2 linked regions of the Ovis aries genome follow. The main gene of each other region encodes a partner of the protein of the gene in region 2 in a complex. Links are inferred from orthologs where the notes say so. Each region holds a gene or a part of one and is shown on either strand. Other genes may lie near its edges. The genes, in order: STON2 and EPS15.

Region 1 (10,214 bases), on a different chromosome or scaffold from region 2:
AGTGAGCAAACCCAGCTCTGGAAGAAATCAAAACCGGGATGACAAGAAGTGTGACGGGTCAGGATTGGAACTGTGTTGACAGACTCATGGACTGGACAGGGCGTCGGGGCAGAATGACAAAGGCAGGGCGGGACATTTCTTGCTGCTCCGAATCGGAGCTGTTCTCATCTCCTGACTGTGAGCACTGTGCCTGCAGTTCAGTGTAACCCAGAGACTCAGCCCCTCTTACAGGTCAAAGCTGGCCTCCAGCAAAACTGCCACATGGATTATCTTGGGACCTTCCAGATTTTCTCCTCCTTCCACTAGGCCCTTCCATTCAGGTCTTTCCCCTCAACTCTGTCGTAATTCTTCCCTGTAATTCAGTGACTTTCAGAGTGTGGTGTCTGGGCCAGCATCATTATCACCTGAGCACCTCTCTGAAATGCTCGTTCCCAGGCTCACCCCACTCTGCTGGTTCAGAGACTCTGGCATGGGGGCCCAGAAATCTATTTCTTCAAGCCTTCTGCTGCTGCTGCTGCTAAGTCGCTTCAGTTGTGTCTGACTCTGTGCAACTCCATAGACGGCAGCCCACCAGACTTCCCCGCCCCTGGGATTCTCCAGGCAAGAACACTGGAGTGGGTTGCCATTTCCTTCTCCAATGCATGAAAGTGAAAAGTGAAAGTGTTGCTCAATCTGAAGTGCCTGACTCTTAGCAGCCCCATAGATTGTAGCCTACTAGGCTCCTCTGTCCATGGATTTTCCAGGCAAGAGTACTGGAGTGGGGTGCCATTGCCTTCTCTGTTTCAAGCCTTCTAGGTGATTCCATAATGCACCCTAAACTTTGAGAACAGTTGCTTTGGATGATAATTATGAAATAAGGACTTTAATGTGTGAGAGACACCCATTTTAGAAGACCTGTGGGCTTCCCTTGTAGCTCAGTCGGTAAAGAATCTGCCCACAATGCAGGAGACCTGGGTTTGATTCCTGGGTCAGGAAGATCCCCTGGAGAAGGAAACGGCAACCCTCTCCAGTATTCTTGCCTGGAGAATTCCATGGACAGAGGAGCCTGCCAGGCTACAGTCCTGGGGTCTTAAGAGTCAGACACGACTTAGCAACTAAACCACCGGTGAAGACAGGCCACCTGAATGAGCCACTTTTAGGAGTGGACTCTCAAGTCATGTGACAGACAGTGAGAGGGAGAGATCTGAGATCTCAACTGCTTCAATCTCCCCACATTGCTACTAGAGATGCACTCACCCTGAAAATGTGATCATCTCAAACCACCTTAAAACCCTCTCGAGTAACACAACCTTCTAAATCAACCATATGTCAACTGGGCTTCCCTGGTGGCTCAGATGGTAAAGAATCTGCTTGTAATGCGGGAGATCAGGGTTTGATCCCTGGGGTCAGGAAGATGCCCTGGAGAAGGGAATGGCAACCCACTCCAGTATTCTTGTCTGGAGAATTCCATGGACAGAGGAGCCTGGCAGGCTACAGTCCATGGGGTCACAAAGAGTTGGACAGGACTGAGCGCCTAACACTACTACTACTATATAGGTCAACTGAAAAAAAGCCTCCAATGGCAGCTCCCTGCCTATAGGGTAAAGTCCCAGGCTCCTGGCACATAGCCCTGTATCATCTGCCTCTGGGACGCCTCCCTGGCCTTGTCTCCTACGCTTTCCCTCCTAATCATCTCTGCCTCCTTTGCAAGAGGTTCCATGTGCCCACACCACCAGCATGAGCTTTGGCCATGTGGCTTACCTTGGCCAACAGCGTGAGAGCTAAAGTGAAGCCCACTCCTTCTCAGCAGACCTCTCAGGGCCATAGTTGTTTTGCTCACTCACGTTCTTTTTCCCTTCTCCCATAAACAAGATTAGTATGTACCAGAGAGAGGCTGTTTCTTCAGCCTTTAAAGTGAAAGTCACCCAGTCTTGTCCGACTCTTTGCGACCCCATGGACTGTACAGTCCACGGAATTCTCCAGGCCAGAATACTGGAGAGGGTAGCCTTTCTCTTCTCCAGGATTCTTAAGCCTTAATGGGCCCCAAAATGGAGACACATGAGGAGCAGAACCATGAATGACCTGCCTTGGACATGCAACATGGGTGAGAAATAACATGGGTGGTGGTAGCAAGCCACTGAGATTGGGACGGAGCGGGTGGGAGAAGGTATTTGCTCATTTTTCCTAAGATGACTATTATAGCACTTCTGATATCCTGTACTCTCTCTTTCTGGAATCCTCCCCTCTGCCCTACTCTTACTCCCAATCCCAGCTCAATTCTGTCTGCACAAGAGAATTGCCTGTTAGCCTACACTCAGCTCAGGTGTATCCCCTCAACAAAGTCTCTCTCTTTTTAAAAATTCTTTCCCAGGTACAGTTCATCATTCTTACCTTGTGAACCTCCTCTGTCTGCTACCGATCTATAACCACATCCCTGGAATGGCACTAGGGGTTTCTATTCATTAGCACCATCCTTAGAACGATTCCTCTTAAAAAAAAAAAAAAAAAAAAAGGTTTTTTTTGAGCCCTCATTTTGTAATGTGAGAGAGACTTTGGCTCAGAAAACTTCAAGCAACTTCTCCAAGTTTCCCAGCTGTCAGGGGCGGGTGTGGCTCTGAACTCGGCAAACTGCCCCCTGCCCCACGTGCCTCTCTGTGTCTCCTCCAGCACAGCTTTCAAATCCCCCCACTCAGGTGTAGAGGGACGGTCTTCTCACCAACAACTGAAAGGGCTGGTGAATTAATCTGACATTGGAAACATCTGACTTCCCTGGTGGCTCAGACAGTAAAGCGTCTGCCTACAATGCAGGAGACCCAGGTTCGATTCCTGAGTCAGGAAGAGCCCCTGGAGAAGGAAATGGCAACCCACTCCAGTATTCTTGCCTGGAAAATCCCATGGACGGAGGAGCCTGGTGGGCTACAGTCCATGGGGTCGCAAGGAGTCAGACATGACTGAGCGATTTCACTAACATTGTAAGATTTACTTCTGGAAGTCGGCTCCTTACCCTCTCAGATGAGAGTCACGTTCTCTGGGTGGATGTATTTATTCTAAAGCTCCTGGTAAATGTGCCGGAGACCCTAGGAGCACTGGGGCACTTTACCTGCGTCCTCTCCCCAGCTCTCAGGTTGTGGGGGTAATGTTCTGAGAAAGACAGGCAGGTTCCCACTAACATTACTCTAGAGCTGCCCTCCCCAACCTTTTTGGCACCAGTGACGGGTTTCATGGAAGACAATTACTCCACAGACCAAAGTTAGGGGTGGGGTTTTGGGATGATTCAAGCGCATTTACTACACGCTTTGTTTCTATTATTATTTCATCAGCTCCTCAGATCATCAGGCTTTAGATTCTAGAGGCTGGGGACCCCTGCCCTAGAGAATCTCTGGGAAGGTCCGCTGGGGTTTGTCGGGGGGTAGGAAACAAGTAGCAGAGGGCTCAGAAACCCAAGCGAGTCTGATATACATTGATATTTTAGCTTTTAAAAAGACAAATTCAAGGAGTGAAACATTTGACTCTTCAAAGAAAACAAGGAAAGTGACACAGTGGCAAAGAACCGAAGCAGACCACCGAGGTCAGAAACTGAAAAAAAAAAAAAACCTCAAGTGGGAACTGTAATTTTAGGCTTCTGTGAGCTGTTGGCATTTTGTTGTGTGGTTGGGCTTTTGTTTGCTATTCTCTTCTCTCTCTTTTAAAATTCACTTGTTTTAAGGGAGGAGTAGGGAGTATAACAATGCTCAAAGTTTCCCCCTTAAATCAGCCATAGTAATGAGGCAACACAGTACCATGATATAACATTCATACACATTTTTTTCAAGGGTTACAAAGTTTTCTCAGTTACTAGTTGGAATCTATTTATCTCTCACCATTCCAATGAAGCAGACTTGTTTTTCTTTTTTTTAATCCCTCAAAGGATATAGTACCTTTAAATGATACCATCAGTAAGATTATTTTTCCCCTTCAAGTGTAAAAAGCTGTTCAGAACTCCAAAGAGTCACTGGGCCAGTTTGGACAAGTCTGATTTACTCTTTAAAAAGGCCATCCGCTCCGTATAATGAACACTAAGCCAGCCTTTATGGAACACTTCAGCGCTGGCCTCAGTGTTTTCCAGCTTGGCTCATTTACTCCGCAAAGCCACGCCATCGGGCAGGTAAAGGCAGTGTTTTGACTTTACAGTCTAGAAGAGTGAAGCGCAGGAGACCACGAAGGACCTGCCTCGGAGAAAGAGACGGAGGCCACTAGCTGTACAGAAACCAGTTAATGATTCACTCACAGCCCTGGGGCAGCTCCTTTTAGTACAGGCTGCAACACACACACACAAACCACATCAACTCTCTTCATCTCAGCGAGAGGGGCGGGTGTCAGGCAAATCGCTTGGCAACGAGAGGAGGAAACTCCATCCAAAGGCCGGGTCCAGGCCGCCTCTGGGCGCTGTCCAGCGGGCATCGTGCCTGAGAGGCCAGGCTGGGGTCCCTGTATCCGGATACCCCGAAAGTGGGGCGCAGAACGCCAAAGCAGTTTTGGGGAGGGTTGGGGTGAGGGGTGGACGGTGGAGAAAAGCACAGTCCGCAAGGACACCTGTTGTCGCCTCCCTCACTAGGGCCCCAAGAAGACGTCCCGGGGACCCAGATCTCGGGGCGGACACGCACGGGCAGACAGCGCCTGTGTGCGAGGCAGGGTGTCCAGGGGTCACGTCTTGTCCCCCGACTCTGCACCCCTGCCCACCTTAGCGGACTCCCCTCGCTCGCTCTCACCGCTGGACGCCCGCGGCTGGGGGAAGCGCGTCTCCCCGGGGCATTCCAGCCGAGGCAGCTTCGGGGGGCTCCACAGGGGCTCGGGCAGCTCCCGCAGCGCTACGACCTCGCGGCCGGCCCGCCCCCCCGCCCGCTCCACCCGCGGGAGCCCGGAGCGCGATCGGCCTCCCAGCTCGGGGAGCAGCTACCTGCGGCGCGGCGCGCAGAGTCCTGAGGGTCCGCCGGAAGGTGGCCGCGGCTCAGCGGGAGTGGCGCCGGCCCCGGGGTGCCCTCGTCCCGCCGCGCGCTCCTCCCTGCCGCGCTCGCTCCGGGGCGGCCCGGCCTCAGGCTCCCCAGTCCGAGCTCGCTCTGCGCCCAGCGGCGCTGGGCGCCGCTCCCGCCGCTACGGATTGGCCGAGGAGCGAGCCAGAGCCGCGCGCTGATTGGTCTGCCGGGCGGTGGGCGGGTCCGACGCGGCGCGGACCCGCCCCTACCCCGACCCCCCGCGCCGCAGCCCCGCGGTGTCCTTTCTGCACCCGGAGCTCGGAGCTCACAGCCAGACGCTGCAACCCGGGCCCTGCCGCGCGGTCAGTGCAGCTCAGGCGTGCGGCCCGGGGGTGCAGGGTCTGGGGACCGCCCAGGAGGCTGTCCCACAGCCCGTGTCGAGGCTGCACGGTGCAGACTGCTGTTCCCCGTCTCACTCTTATATGAGGTTTTGACTCCTCATTCATTTAACGCTTTTACTCTCAGTTCAGTTCAGTCGCTCAGTCGTGTCTGACTCTGTGACCCCTTGGACTGTAGCACGCCGGGCTTCCCTGTCCATCGCCAACTCCCAGAGTTTACTCAAACTCATGTCCATTGAGTCGGTGATGCCATCCAACCATCTCATCCTCTGTCGTCCCCTTCTCCTCCTACCTTCAATCTTTCCCAGCATCAGGGTCTTTTCCAATGAGTTTCAGCCTCAGCATCAGTCCTTGCAATGAATATTCAGGACTGATTTCCTTTAGGATGGACTGGTTGGATCTCCTTGCAGTCCAAGGAACTCCCAAGAGTCTTCTCCAACACCACAGTTCAAAAGCATCAATTCTTCGGCGCTCAGCTTTCTTCACAGTCCAACTCTCACAACCATACATGACCACTGGAAAAACCATAGCCTCGATTAGATGGACCTTTGTTGGCAAAGTAATGTCTCTGCTTTTTAATATGCTGTCTAGGTTGGTTTGACTATATATATAGGCATACTCTCTCTCTCTCTCTCTCTCTCTCTCTCTCTATATATATATATATATATACATATATATAAGTTATAGAATTATAGCTATTAATCCTATGGGCCACCTGACTCATTGGAAAAGACCCTGATGCTGGGAAAGATTGAAGGCGGGAGGAGAAGGGGATGACAGAGGAGGAAATGGTTGGATGGCATCACCGCAGTGATGGACATGAGTTTGAGTAAACTTCGGAAGTTGGAGATGGACAGGGATACCTGGCGTGCTGCAGTCCATGGGGTCGCTAAGAGTTGGACACGACTGAGCGACTGAACTGATATATATATATATATATATATATATATATATATAGGCATAGGACGCAGGGCAGTAGCTCATAAATAGTGGGCACCAAATTGTGTTTCTAGACTCAGATCGTACTTGACACACAATCTTTGTGGAGCTTGCAAAGGGTAAGCGACTTGTCCAGGGTCCTAATCACGTTAAGAGATTACTAAGGACAAGAAGGACAGCGAGGCCTTCCTCAACAAGGAATCTTTACCTAGCTACGGAGATGAGTCTGATTAATAAAAACAACAACCCTAACGTTTCCATGATGCATAGTATTCGCCAGTCAGGTTTCCAAGTACTTTGCATATATTAATTCAGAAATGCATATAACAGCTGTCATAAGTATGCACACAGGTTCCTTGTGGACAAGAGACATCAGTTCTGAGTGCGAGAGATTTTCATCTGGAAGACAGTCGCCCTGCACTGCGATGGAGAGGCACAGGTCAGAACGGAGAGCAACTGTCAGGGGTTAAACCTGCCCGCATCTTCATCTCTCCTCCCATTTTACAGTCTCAGTCCTCCCAACATTCTCTCACACCTGCAACAAATCTTTCCAAAGAATAAAACAACCACTGTAAATCAGGGTGCTCCCAGAACTTTGTTCTACCACTCATCAAAGGACCCCACCCCATCCCCAAACACCCAGCTAGACAATGAGTATAAACAAATAGCACAGTTTCTATTTTACCTTTGACTTTGGTTGCAGTAATGTCTTCTTGACAGCAAGTATATAACCATTTTCCTACAGGTATTTCCCCCTAGTTCTTTTCTCCTGTGTTGACAGAACCCTTGGGAGAGAAATTTAGTTTAATAGAAAAGTTAAAAGACTCTGGTGAAAGCCAGCTTGACCCATTCTGAGAGCCTGATTTTTGCCCTAAGGATTAAGTATTACTTCCAAAGTGTGGTGTCTGATACTTTGTTACCCCATGAACTGCAGCCCGCCAGGCTCCTCTGTCCATGGGATTCTCCAGGTAAGAATACTGGAGTGGGTTGCCATTTCTTTCTCCAGGGGATCTTCCTGTTCCAGGGATCAAACCCGGATCTCCTGCATTGCAGGCAGTTTCTTTACCATCTGAGCCATCAGGAAGTGAGCTGAAACACACTTACCTTGAAGAGCTCAAGACCCTTGGAGAAAATGAGCTCAGTTTTCTCCAGTTTACATTAATGGATAAGCAATCAATTAACTTCATACTGAAAAGATGTATTGGTATAGTGAAGCCTTACCTGATAAAAAATGAGGGTACAACAGGCTGTATGAGGAAGTCTCTTTCACCAGCATCCCTCCCAAGCACCATGGGTGTGGCTTTGGTAAAGCAGAAATTCCATTTGGATTGATCATGCAGTCACTCCGAAGAAAAGAGGCTCCTTCAGCCAAAGAACTAGGCTAACCCCAGATGATTTCTTAAACTGATCAACCTTAGTCTCATCACACTAAACTCAGCCCCCTGGAAGGATACGTGGAAGATTCTGATTTCCTGGGACCTCCGTGGTGGTCCAGTGGCTAAGACTCCTGGCTCCCAAGGCAGGGGGCTTGAGTTCAACCCCTGGTCAGGAACTAGATCCTACATGCTGCAACTAAGAGTTTATAAATAAATATTTTTTAAAAAAGAATCTGGATTCCATCACATTCACTGTGAAACCTTCCTTTGGCAGGAACTCTTTGTGTATCCATCTCTCATCCCTGGCTCCTCTAGCAAAATGCTTTGCTTGGTTCTGCTTCTTGTGTGGGATTTCTTCCCTGGCTACTTGGCGCTCAAGACAACTAAAACAGCTCTTCCTCCATAAGGCCATCATTAGCTCTCCCAGGCAAAGGTAGGATCCCCTCACCTGTGTTATATCTTCATGACAGCATTCTAGTTTACATGGCTGTCAGCCAGTGGGAGGTAATAGGTATTCAGTAAACAGGAACTGATTGACTAAAGTCCTTAACAGGGTAACAAGGTGGCATTAAAGAGACTGGGGCCACACCCTTATCCTGGTCAGCAGGGCATCCTCCAGGTCCAGACTGGTGTGGGTCAAAGTGATCACCCACCTAACCTGATAGTGAGCAAGTAGTTTCTGTATGTCAAGCACTATCAAGTAAAGAAAATAATAGTTCTCTCTTAAATTTATGCAAAATAAAATGCTGCAGCTGATTCAGAAAACACTTTGGCAGTTCCTGAAAGAATTAAACATAGAGTTACCTTATCACCCAGTAATTTTGCTTCTAAAGTATATATTCAAGAGAATTTAAAACATATGTGCATGCAAAAATGTGTACACTGATGTTCACAGAAGCATTGTTCATCATAGCGGATAAATGCAAGCACCCAACACTTATCAACTGGTGAATAGATAAACAAAATGAGGTGCATCCATATGATAGTATACTATACAGCTAAAGAAAGGAGTGGATACGGATACATGCCACAATTTGGATGAAGCCTGAAAACACTATGCTAAGTGAAAGAAGCCAGAGGCCCAAAGGGCCTTATACTGTATGATACCCTTTAGATGACGTTTCAAAATGGGCAGATTTATGGAGACACAAAGCAGATTAGTGTCAGCAAGGGTCTTGGGGAAAGAGAAATGGTAAGTGACTTGCTTAATGGATCTGGGGTTCCCTTTTGTGGTGACGAACATGTTCTAGAATTAGATGATGATTATGGTTGCACAACTTTGTGGCTGTATTAAAAATCACTGAATCTTTTTTTTCATGTCCACAGCATGCATTCCGAGAGTGCAGAAACTGTCAGGGAAGGCAATGTCAGTTAAATCCTAAAGTGTAGTAGCTAAAAGTATAAAAGTGTAGAGAAACAGAAAAGCCTATGAAAAAGTCAGATTGTCTTCCTGTCGTGTTGCAGCTTTCAACAACACATCTTTTTAGATCTGCATTGTCCAACTGAACAGTCTATAGTAACGGACATGTTCTCCATCTGAGCTATTTATTATGAAAGCCACTGGGCATATGTCGCTATTGGATACTTGCAATGTGGTTAGTGCAACTGAAGAACTGAATTTTCAATTGTATTTAAATAGCTATGTGTGGTTAGTGGCTACTTCCCTGGCAGGGTAGCTTTTGCAGGTTTAGAGGACTAGAGCCATCTTCACCGGCAGTTTGGTATGATACTTCAGGGCATGGGAATGGAAGAGTCTATGTCCTTCTGTCCCAAAGCCTAGCTCAACCCTGTATCCAGGAGAAATCCCTCAATACAATCTCACTCCTCCTGATCTCCTCCCTTCTGTGAACTCTTAGTGAACTTCTATCAATAACACAGTGTTTAGTTTTGTCTTTATGCAAGATGCTTCCATTCCACAAGTATTAATGGACCAAGCGCCATGAAGAATTCTGGGGAGAGCAAGGTCTGTAGACAATGTCAGCCACATTCTAAGTGCTGGCCTCAAAAAGGCTGAGAAAAAGAAAAGATAAGAGAAATCCTCTACCGGGATCTGGTTGCTTCCCTTCTTTCCTCCAGCATCTCCTGCTCACACATACAATACTCTTCCAAGTGGGAAATCTTGCTACTAAGATGCTGAAGTGATGCTGAAGAATCTTTATTTAGATTTCCAGTTTCCCACTCAAGCCTTTCCTTAATTCCTTCAGCACACCTTCCAAATCATGTAGCTCTTTCCTTTCTGTGAACTTTTATTGACTTTGAAATTAATAGAATGTAATGGCTCCAAAATCATTGCAAATGGTGATTGCAGCCATGAAATTAAAAGACGCTTACTCCTTGGAAGGAAAGTTATGACCAACCTAGATAGCATATTCCAAAGCAGAGACATTACTTTGCCAACAAAGGTCCTTCTAGTCAAGGCTATGGTTTTGCCAGTGGTCATGTATGGATGTGAGAGTTGGACTGTGAAGAAAGCTGAGCACTGAAGAACTGATGATTTTGAGCTGTGGTGTTGGAGAAGACTCTTGAGAGTCCCTTGGATTGCAAGGAGATCCAACCAGTCCATCCTAAAG
Region 2 (9,371 bases):
CTCATATGAATGACTCCAATAGCCTTCCCCTGCTCTCCCCGCCTCACCTGGCTTCCTCCTAAAGTAATCCTCCAGATTACCACCAATGAGTTCTTTCTACACACAAACACTTCATCTTTGGCCACAAACCTACGCAACCCACACTGAATGAGACGTCAACACGTGCGGTTTTGTGGCACGCTGTACCGTGTTCTACACTTTCACCCTATACAACTGTGGCCTCTGCCTAGAACGCCTGTCCCTTCATCTGTGTGGCAAACTCCCCAAAATGTACTACCTTTGCCTACCTTTTAATGCATTCTTTCCAGAGCTTTGCCAGCACCAAGAAAACAATTTTTGTTTTTACCAGTTTCATGGCTTTGAAATTTGTACATTTTTAATAAAAGAAAGGATGCTCTCATCCCTATGTTCATTTTTATCATTTGTCATATTGATAACTAAAAGTTGTTCAGTGCTTTCATGTGTCAAAAACTATTCTAAACCCTGGTAAAGATTACCTATGAAAATGAACTGGGAAATGTTTTATAAGATGCCATGTGTTATGCAGTAGGTTTATTTCATTAATCCTCAAGAGCAGAGATTACATGGATTGTTCTATTTATGGTATTTCTCCTCTGAATTCTCACCTTTAACAGGAATAGAGAGCAGTGGTTGAAACAGTACTGCCAGTCTACTGGGTTCAAATTCTAGCTCTGTCACTTACTAACTACATAACTGTGGCCTCGTTAGGGCACCTCTGGAAAATGGAGACAAAAACAGTACCTATACATTACAAGGTTACTTTTTAAAGGGTTAAAAGAAATAATATATGTAAAGCACGAAGGATTCTGCCTGAAGCTCAACATGTTATCTGGTGTTATTTATCATGCTCTGTTCCTAAAGTTTCCTATAGGCAGTTTTTTTCATACAAAATGAGACAAAGCACAGTAAACTGGAAAGAGTGTCATGTTTTAGAATCAGAGAGGCCAAAGTTCAATTCCTGGCTCATCTACTCATTAGCTGTATTATCTGAATCACATTATTGTAACTTTTTTGAGCCTCATTTTTCCTATTTTTAAAATAGATGCTGAGGACATCCCTGGTGGTTCAGTGGCTTAAACTCCATGCTCCCAATGCAGAGGGCCCAGACCTGATCCCTGGTCAGCGAATTAGATCCCACATGCCCAACTAAAAGATCCTGCCTGCCACAACAAAGATCTGAAGATCCAACATGCCACAACTAAGACCCAGTGAAGCCAAGTAAATAAATAAATACTGAAAAAACACAGATGTGAATAACATTCCTATTTAGGGCCGTTGTGAAGATTAAACAACATGGACAGAGGAGCCTGGTAGGCTATATAGTCCATGGGGCTGCAACAAGCAGGACACAACTGAGTGACTAAACACACACACTCATAAAGTGCTCGCTGTAGTGCGTTCAATGGCCAGTACTTATTCTATTAATAAGAACATGGCGGAATTTGTTTAATTAAAATAATATTAAAAAGCTGTCAAACTCAAATCAATCAGAACAATCCTGTGAGCTGGGTATTATGATGCTCACTAAAAGAGGAAAATGAGGCTCAGTTCAGTTCAGTCAAGTCCAACTCTTTTGCGACCCCATGGAGTGCAGCACACCAGGCCTCCCTGTCCATCACTAACTCTCGGAGTCTACTCAAACTCATGTCCATTGAGTCAGTGATGCCATCCAACCATCTCATCCTCTGTCGTCCCCTTCTCCTCCAGCCTTCAGTCTTTCCCAGCATCAGGGTCTTTTCAAATGAGTCAGTTCTTTGCATCAGGTGGCTAAAGCTAAGGGAGGCTAAATATCTTTGTCAAAGTCTTCTTTCCTAAAAGTGGCAGACCAGGGTTGCATGAATTTTTGACACCACAGTGCCTTCCAAGAGTCACAAATCCTCATATGCATACATTTCCTATCTTTCTTTCACAAAATAGGTGTCAACTAAAAACAAGTTAACATTCATTGGGTATTCTATACCAGGCACTGTGTCTCAAGCACTTTACACATAATTCATCTGTGCTGATTGCATGTCTACCCTTCCATGGACACAGCAAGAACATAACACAGAATCACGCAAAACTCCATGTCAGATAGGATGTATGGAGACTACGGTTTATTATTACTTAAAGTTTATTGTTCTCATAATTACAGGCTACAGTTTAGAAGTTTGAAACATAAGAGAAAATTCTATAAAGAACTCAAATAAATCTGAACAAGTAGGTAGAAGATGGTTAAAACCTTGTAATAAGTGCTACTTAGCTCTCAGGAATACTCATCTGTCCTTTTCCATCACAGGCACTGGAGCCAGAGTCAACAACATAAAATATGATCATAAATGACTCTAAGACATTCATCCTACTCAAGTGAGCATGGAGGTTTAGATATATATATATATTTATATAATATATACATACTTTAATATCATATTGGTCCACTGAGTATACATATTTTAACAAAAGATAAGAATCTATGCAATCCAGTTAAACACACATAAGATTAAGGTACACTGAAAGTTGGTGTTTATAAGTTACAGATATTTAGTACTTTCCAGAGTGTTCTTTTAATTAAAAAAAAATATTTTAAAACCATTTCAAACATCTGCTCATTTTCCCAGTGCAAAAGAAGGTTGTTCAAGTCAACTTACCTTTTTCCTAAAGTGGAAGGGGAAGAAAAAAAACCCAAAACCCACTACCATTTACAACTCCCAACACTACCTTCTCAATCAACTTTTGGAGTATATCCTTATAAATGGATTAGTTTATCAATATTAAAGCCCGGTGATTATGATTCAGCCCTTGCTTTGTCTGTATGACTTTCATGCTGAAATGCTTTAATTTATAAAAGTAGAAAAAAGCAATGCAAGAAAGTAGTTTAAATTCATTTTGAACTGCAGTAATCCAATTGTGTGTGGAGAGAAAAAAAGCACCATTTCAAAATGAAATAATTGGATATTCTGGAATTTATTCATAAGCTAGGCAATAAGTTACTCTGATTAACACAGATCAATACCACCTTGACTTGGTGACCACAGACACATTTAATTACTCTTTAGGTGCATTTTCCTTTATCTTGGTTTTCAACACATTATTTAAGTCAGTAACTGATGTTAAAAAAATTTAGATTACTCTACAATTTACAGCCTACTTCACAGTCCATTTTAAATTCAGCTTGTCTGCTAAGTCAGTTTTGCAGAAGATAGGCTTTTAACACATAAAGAGATCTGATAACTGGGCAGGTCTCCTCTCTCCCAATTTAAAAAAACAAAAAAAAAGTTTTGCTAGCTTGCCAATTTTGTAGGTGAAAAACACAAAAAGAATAGACTATTTTAATCCACAAAGATGGACACAAAGCAATAATGATTTAATACATGTCACTTTTTTCATCTGTATTCAGAGAATGTTTTTACATTTCAAGTAATTGAGCCTTCATTAAAGAAAACAAAAAAATATATATACAAAAAGTTAAAGTACCTTCCAGTTCTAGCTTACTAAAGTTTCTTCTACAAAAGTAAAAAAATAAACCTACCATGAACTAAAGAGGACAGTGCCATGGCAATGGCAGAATGGCTGCCAGGTTAAGATTTTTGCTTATCTTATATTGATGAGTATATTTTAGGTGAAAATTTTTCTTCATTCTCTAAGTACTTAAAATCATGGAGAGGTATCTGTTTATCTAAAATTCTTTAAATCCAGAAAAAAATTTTTTTAATTTATTTCAGACATGAGGCTTTAATATTTTTATTTAGGAAAAGATTGAGTCTGAAGCTCTAATGGTTCCATCTAAAACATCCTGTTTTCAACAGTGGGAGTCAATGTATGCAAAATATTTTTTCTTGTCTATAAAAAACAAATTGAACAGTATTTTGATTAAAAGGAAATACAAACATGTACTTTAAACTGGCCAATTTGCTCTATCATAAAAGAAATAGGCTGTTCTTTCCCTTCCCCTCTTTCAACCATTTAAATTAGGGGAGAATACTGCCAACTTTAAGAACCCCACTGGCTATCATTAGAGTAACTACAGAATAAGGGTAGCATAGGGGTGAAACTATTTCTCTATATTCCAGAAGGCAGAAACTTGGGTGCTCTAGCTTTACAAGTAAGAGAGGCACAGGCAGGCAACAGCTCACACTAAATGCACACCAGAGCAGGGGCCTAGGTGAAGTCATCTGGGTTACCACTTGCACAGGGGGAAAAAAAAGACAAATCTGAAATGGAGTTTAAAAAGCCAAAACTTTTGTCACATTTACAGGAATCTCAAACCTTTTGTATTCCCATGCTCACAGGTAGGTTTGATACACATTGTAAATAGCTTCAGTATTCAAGAAGGAGAGTGTTGTGTGGTTGACGAAGAACAGGAGATTTCTTCATGCTTCTGATATTTCAGATTTGCTGAGTGCAATAGCCAGTTCTAAGTCTTCTTGCTCTTGCTGATTCAGTCGGGCAAGTCTCTGCTCTTCCTCTCTCTCACTTTCTCTCTTGGCCCACTCAATCATATCTTCCTCAGAGGGATACTGCCATTTAAAAGATAAATGAACAAACAAATGAATACATTCATGAGTAAAACAAGTACAAAGAAAAGAAGGAAAAACAGCTTTCACAAAAGGAAATTGAACTATGTGTTTCACCTGAAGGGCTCTGGAAAAAGTCTTGATTTTTTTTTTCCCCCCAAAAACAAGTTTAATTAGTTTAAACTTAAAACTTTAAATTTAAACTTAAAAATTAAATCAAAATATGATTTAATCTTAAAAGCAATGCAGTCTACAGATAGAGAGTCTATAAAACTGAACATTAAAACATCATTTGTAAAAAGTGGTTATTCTTAAGGTGGAACAGATTTAAAAACAGGAGAGAACTAGCATATTTATCTAATGTAAAACATTTACTACTTCAACTTCAGTGAGCATCCTCACATGATACATCATTTTTAACTTAATCCCACTGGCAATTTCCTATCTTATTCTAGCCCTTCAGGTACAGGAAAATTATAAAGCAAAGAATATACTATACATAAATTTTGTTATACATAAAACAAGAGTCCTGGGTATATACCAAGCAAGATGTGGACCTAATCAATTTTTTTAATGCATTATAATGATTTTAGAAGGTATTGAGAACTTTTTGACCCATTCTAAATAAGACCTTAATGCTGGTAATTAATAAGTCAAGGAAATATATGTATCCACCCCAAATAGCAACCGTGGCAGATACTAAATAAAAACATTCTACTTGGTTTCAAGTCCTGTCATATAGAAGAACACCATAATAGGATGAATACCATAACAAACAGGATGAAAAGAAAGAAACTGTCAGGCTTTTTTGAAAATGGTAGCTTTCTTTCTAGGGAATTATAAGATCTTTGAAACTTTTAATGTTTAACAAATCTTTCATTTAAAAAGACATTTTTATTATTAGATGCTTAATATTATACTATACTGAGATTCTGGAAAATGAAAAAAGCAAATTGCTTTTGTTCAAGACTCATTCCAACCAGGTTTTGACTTATTGAAATCATATTTAAGATATTAAGTGCCACAAACTGCCAGAAGGTTATTTTGTACTAAGAGCATTATAGTAAGAAGAGCAATTCTGGGTTCTCTCCTTGAAACAACTCAAATTCCATCTAACAAGAGTCAGTATAATTCTGACACCTTCTGTTTTCCAATATTTAAAATATTGATTCCTGCTCTGCCTCTTCACATTTGGAAGAAGCCATTGAAACTTAAGAGTACAGATTCAAAAGCTAAATAGCCTAGTCTAATTCTGCCTACCTGCTTTACTAACTAGAAATGGCTGCAGGAATAAAGTGATCGGAAGAGTGACCCTAAGCTACACTGAGGGAGACATTAGGCAGACTGTGGTCAGTCAGCTGGCCACTAGATCTCTTATTTATAGAATCATCTCAAAGGCTTGAGGTTGTTAAGTAGAGGAAAACTGCTTTATTATAAAATAGACAGTGATAATGAAGGTCATTTTTATCTAGAAAAAAAAGCAACCTGGGAAATGAAACAGTTAGTTACTCTAAGAATTAAAACAAAAATTTACGTTTATCTACATGATGATGATATACACGTCATTGCTTAATGCCCCACCAGGGTGATATTTCCAGTTGGTTGCCCCATTTCTATGATCTTATAAGACCCGCCTATACTCTTAACACCACACCCTTCTATTGTCTTTATTGGCCTACTCTAGTCAGCTCTGGGAGAATGCAGAGTAGGTATGGAATGCTAGTGAACTGAGTGAGTGAATCAAAGTCGCTCAGTCATATCCAACTCTTTGCGACCTCATGGACTATACAGTCCATAGACTTCTCTAGGCTAGAATACTGGAGTGGATAACCTTTTCCTTCTCCAGAAGATCTTCCCAACCCAGGGATAGAATCTAGGTCTCAAGCACTGCAGGCAGATTCTTTCCTGACTGAGCCATCAGGGAAGCTTTGGGAGAATGTGGAGTAGATATGGGAAGCTAGTGAATTAGAGTCTTCCAAATAATTAAAGATTGTTTAGCTCTTAAAAATATTTATTTAATAAAACTGATTTATATTTTAAGAACATTTCTGTATGAAACCAGAGTTTTATTTTCTATTCAAAGAATTTCTGGTCCTATCTTCTTATATAATACAGTAATTGCTGACTGGTCTCCAGAAATTTTCAAGGTTTTATACACAAACACACATACACAGTTACAAATAACACAAACTCATTATTGGCATTATTTATCCAGAGGGCAGACAGCAAATGACTCTCTAGTGGCCCACTGTCTGTAACAATTTGCAAAATAATAACTGTCAAGGTTTTGCAAAGCACCTGGTATATATCCCAAGAACTAAGACTACTAAAATCATCTTAACAATGCAATAATTTCAGAACTAGCAGACAGAATCAAACAGAGGTTTTCTTGGTTGGGGGAAGAATAAAGATCATTTTTAACATGTTGGTAAATTTAGCTGAAATAATGCAAATTTGGCAGACTCAAAAATAATCTTTGAAAGCTCTTTAAACTATAAATGGAAAGATTTTCCCCCAAACAGCCCATTCACAGTACTTACAGCACTGAAGTTAGCAAAATTGCTTGGGTCAGCCTCTTTATTGGTAGTGGTAGTAGTAGAAGTGAATGGATCGCAAAACATATCAGGATCTTTTTCTTTGGGGCTATCATTGCCTGGGAAAGGCTGAAATGGATCATTCAGTTTAAAGGGATCAGAAGAATCCATTTTGTTGATGGGTCTTTTCCCTGGATCAAAATCATTACAATTAACTCAACCAGCAAGTATGGCAAACACAAACACACAACAACAGGAACACAGGGAGCATTAGAGAAGTGGGGATGGGGAACCTAAAACACATTCTTAATATGGTCTTAAATGACCACAACCAACAGTCTGTCGTCAAAAATTTCACACACAACCTCTTAAGTACACTCCAGTTTTATGCGGGTAAGTGGGAAAACAGCCAAGGGTGAAGCAGCAGACCTGGAATCTTTTCTGCTCAGAGTTAACTTCTTCTCCAAAGTAGCACGCTCCCAAGGAGAGAGACAAGAATGGATAAAACAGGGGGAAAATGACAAATAATGACAAAAACGGCCTCTGCTGTGATAACCTCTGCCTAATACATAATTCTCCACAAGTGGCAGTAAGGGCAAATGATCTCTGAAAAATGCTAATATTCTTCTGATTTTTCTCTGGATCTATATGTAACACCTGGGAGCATGAAATTAAAAACTACTTTGGTAAAGCCCAGCTACTTCTTGTCATCTACAGTATTTCAAACTGAAGGATAGAGAGAATGTTTTGAAGCCCAGGGCCTAAATTCTGTGGTTACTGATAAACTAATCTTTGACCAAACAATAGCATACTGTTATTCATCACCATTTTCAAACAAGTTTTCTAATTTTCAAGACTTAAACTTAGTACTTGCTGAAGAAAGGATAAGAATAAGTGTTAAAATATCTTCAAATCTAAATATATATTCCTGAAGATGTGTTAATCTGGTAACGGCAACCATAACAACAGAGTCTTTCTGTCACAGCTTACAAAAGGTTTTCACATCTCATATCTCAAAGGATCCTTCCAACAACCCTTGGAGGGCAGCATGAGAACTAATGCCACCATCTAACAGCTCAGAGATCTGGGGCTCAGACATAGGAAGCTCTATACACTCAAGATCACAGAGGATATCAGAGGATATTCAGAATGAGAACTTAGATCTTTAATATCCCAGTTCAACAACCATCCCCCCCCTTTTTTTTTTAAATGTGGACCATTTTTATAAAGTCTTTACTGAATTTGTTACAATATTGCCTCTATTTTATGGTTTTTTTTGGGCTCGACATGTGGGATCTTAGCTTCCCGACCAGGGACTGAACTCGTACCCTCTGCATTGGAAGGCAAAGTCTTAACCCCTGGACCACCAGGAAGTCCTCATTCTTCTTTCTTTGATTTTTCTACAGTGATATATACTCAGTTTATTGAAGTCTTAGATTTAGTTACAGCACTAGTATATTAGTTTATTGAGGATTTTAAAAATCACCTCACTATTGACCTCTTAAAGGTATAAAACTTAAATAAGCAAATTAACTGTCACTTGTTTTTTAACATATTCTGACAAATTTACCCTAGAACAATTAAAAGATATAGGCTAGTCTTCCCTAAAAGATAGAAATCGCTTGTTCACTTGATTTTTCAATAGGTAGTTGGGTATTAATAATTTTATTCACAATTCTTTAAATCAAAGAAGAAAAAAGAAATCTGCCCGAGAAATACCACAGGCAGGCTATTATAAAAAGGCAAGAATAAAAATCTAGAACTACTGTGGCTGAAAATTTATCAAGGATATAAGGTAAAAACAATGATGTACCAGATGTGTCTTCTCAAAAACAATCTAGCGGCACTACAACTACCCAGGGGATTGCCCTTTACCACTTCTCATAAACTTTATTGTTTTCATTAATTAAAATTGAACAAAACCCCTTTCTTTGGTACAGTACTAAACAAAACAAAAGCAAAAAAGTAAGAATCTGTTTCTCGACCAAAACACCACCTTTTTAAAATAAAGGAATCTCTTATTGAGGTAAATAATATTTTCCTTCAAGAAAAACAATACTTTCTTTCAAAATTCTGACACCAAAATGCTGAATTGGCCATTCTGATACCAAAGTGGCCATATATTCTCATACTGAAGGACTTAAGGAAGACTTCACACTTAGCAGGAAAAAGAAAGGGACTCTGGATTATTAACCTTCCCTTATAGAAATTTATTAAAATATCACAGTGCAGGAAACTCTGATTAAATGGAAGCTCATTAGCTTTCAAAAAGCAAGAGATTTCATTTACTGCCTCTCTGAAATGATTTAAAAATAGATTAGCT

What was found.
Region 1: the proteins of EPS15 (region 2) and STON2 are in contact, whole or in part, in an NMR structure (PDB 2JXC), measured with the Homo sapiens proteins. The link is inferred for Ovis aries from reciprocal best matches to the Homo sapiens genes EPS15 and STON2. Residues at the interface, in NP_001972.1 of Homo sapiens: Leu139, Gly148, Lys152, Pro153, Val154, Leu155, Leu156, Asn157, Ser158, Lys159, Val162, Asp163, Leu165, Gly166, Arg167, Trp169, Glu170, His176, Gly178, Met189, Val192, Tyr193, Leu196, Glu197, Lys198; in NP_001353779.1 of Homo sapiens: Trp309, Arg310, Ala311, Thr312, Asn313, Pro314, Phe315, Glu318, Gln321, Asp322, Gln324, Pro325, Ser326, Ile328, Asn329, Pro330, Phe331, Phe334, Phe335, Glu337, Gln338, Glu339, Arg340.

Annotation. Positions count from the first base shown.
Region 1 is NC_056060.1:90,898,783-90,908,996, forward strand, and holds the start of STON2 (stonin-2), read right to left. Parts: upstream 5,080-10,214; 5' UTR 4,916-5,079; intron 1-4,915. UniProt on the Homo sapiens protein: Adapter protein involved in endocytic machinery. Involved in the synaptic vesicle recycling. May facilitate clathrin-coated vesicle uncoating.
Region 2 is NC_056054.1:25,789,115-25,798,485, forward strand, and holds the end of EPS15 (epidermal growth factor receptor substrate 15), read right to left. Parts: intron 7,240-9,371; coding exon 7,055-7,239; intron 4,518-7,054; coding exon 4,371-4,517; 3' UTR 2,117-4,370; downstream 1-2,116. UniProt on the Homo sapiens protein: Involved in cell growth regulation. May be involved in the regulation of mitogenic signals and control of cell proliferation. Involved in the internalization of ligand-inducible receptors of the receptor tyrosine kinase (RTK) type, in particular EGFR.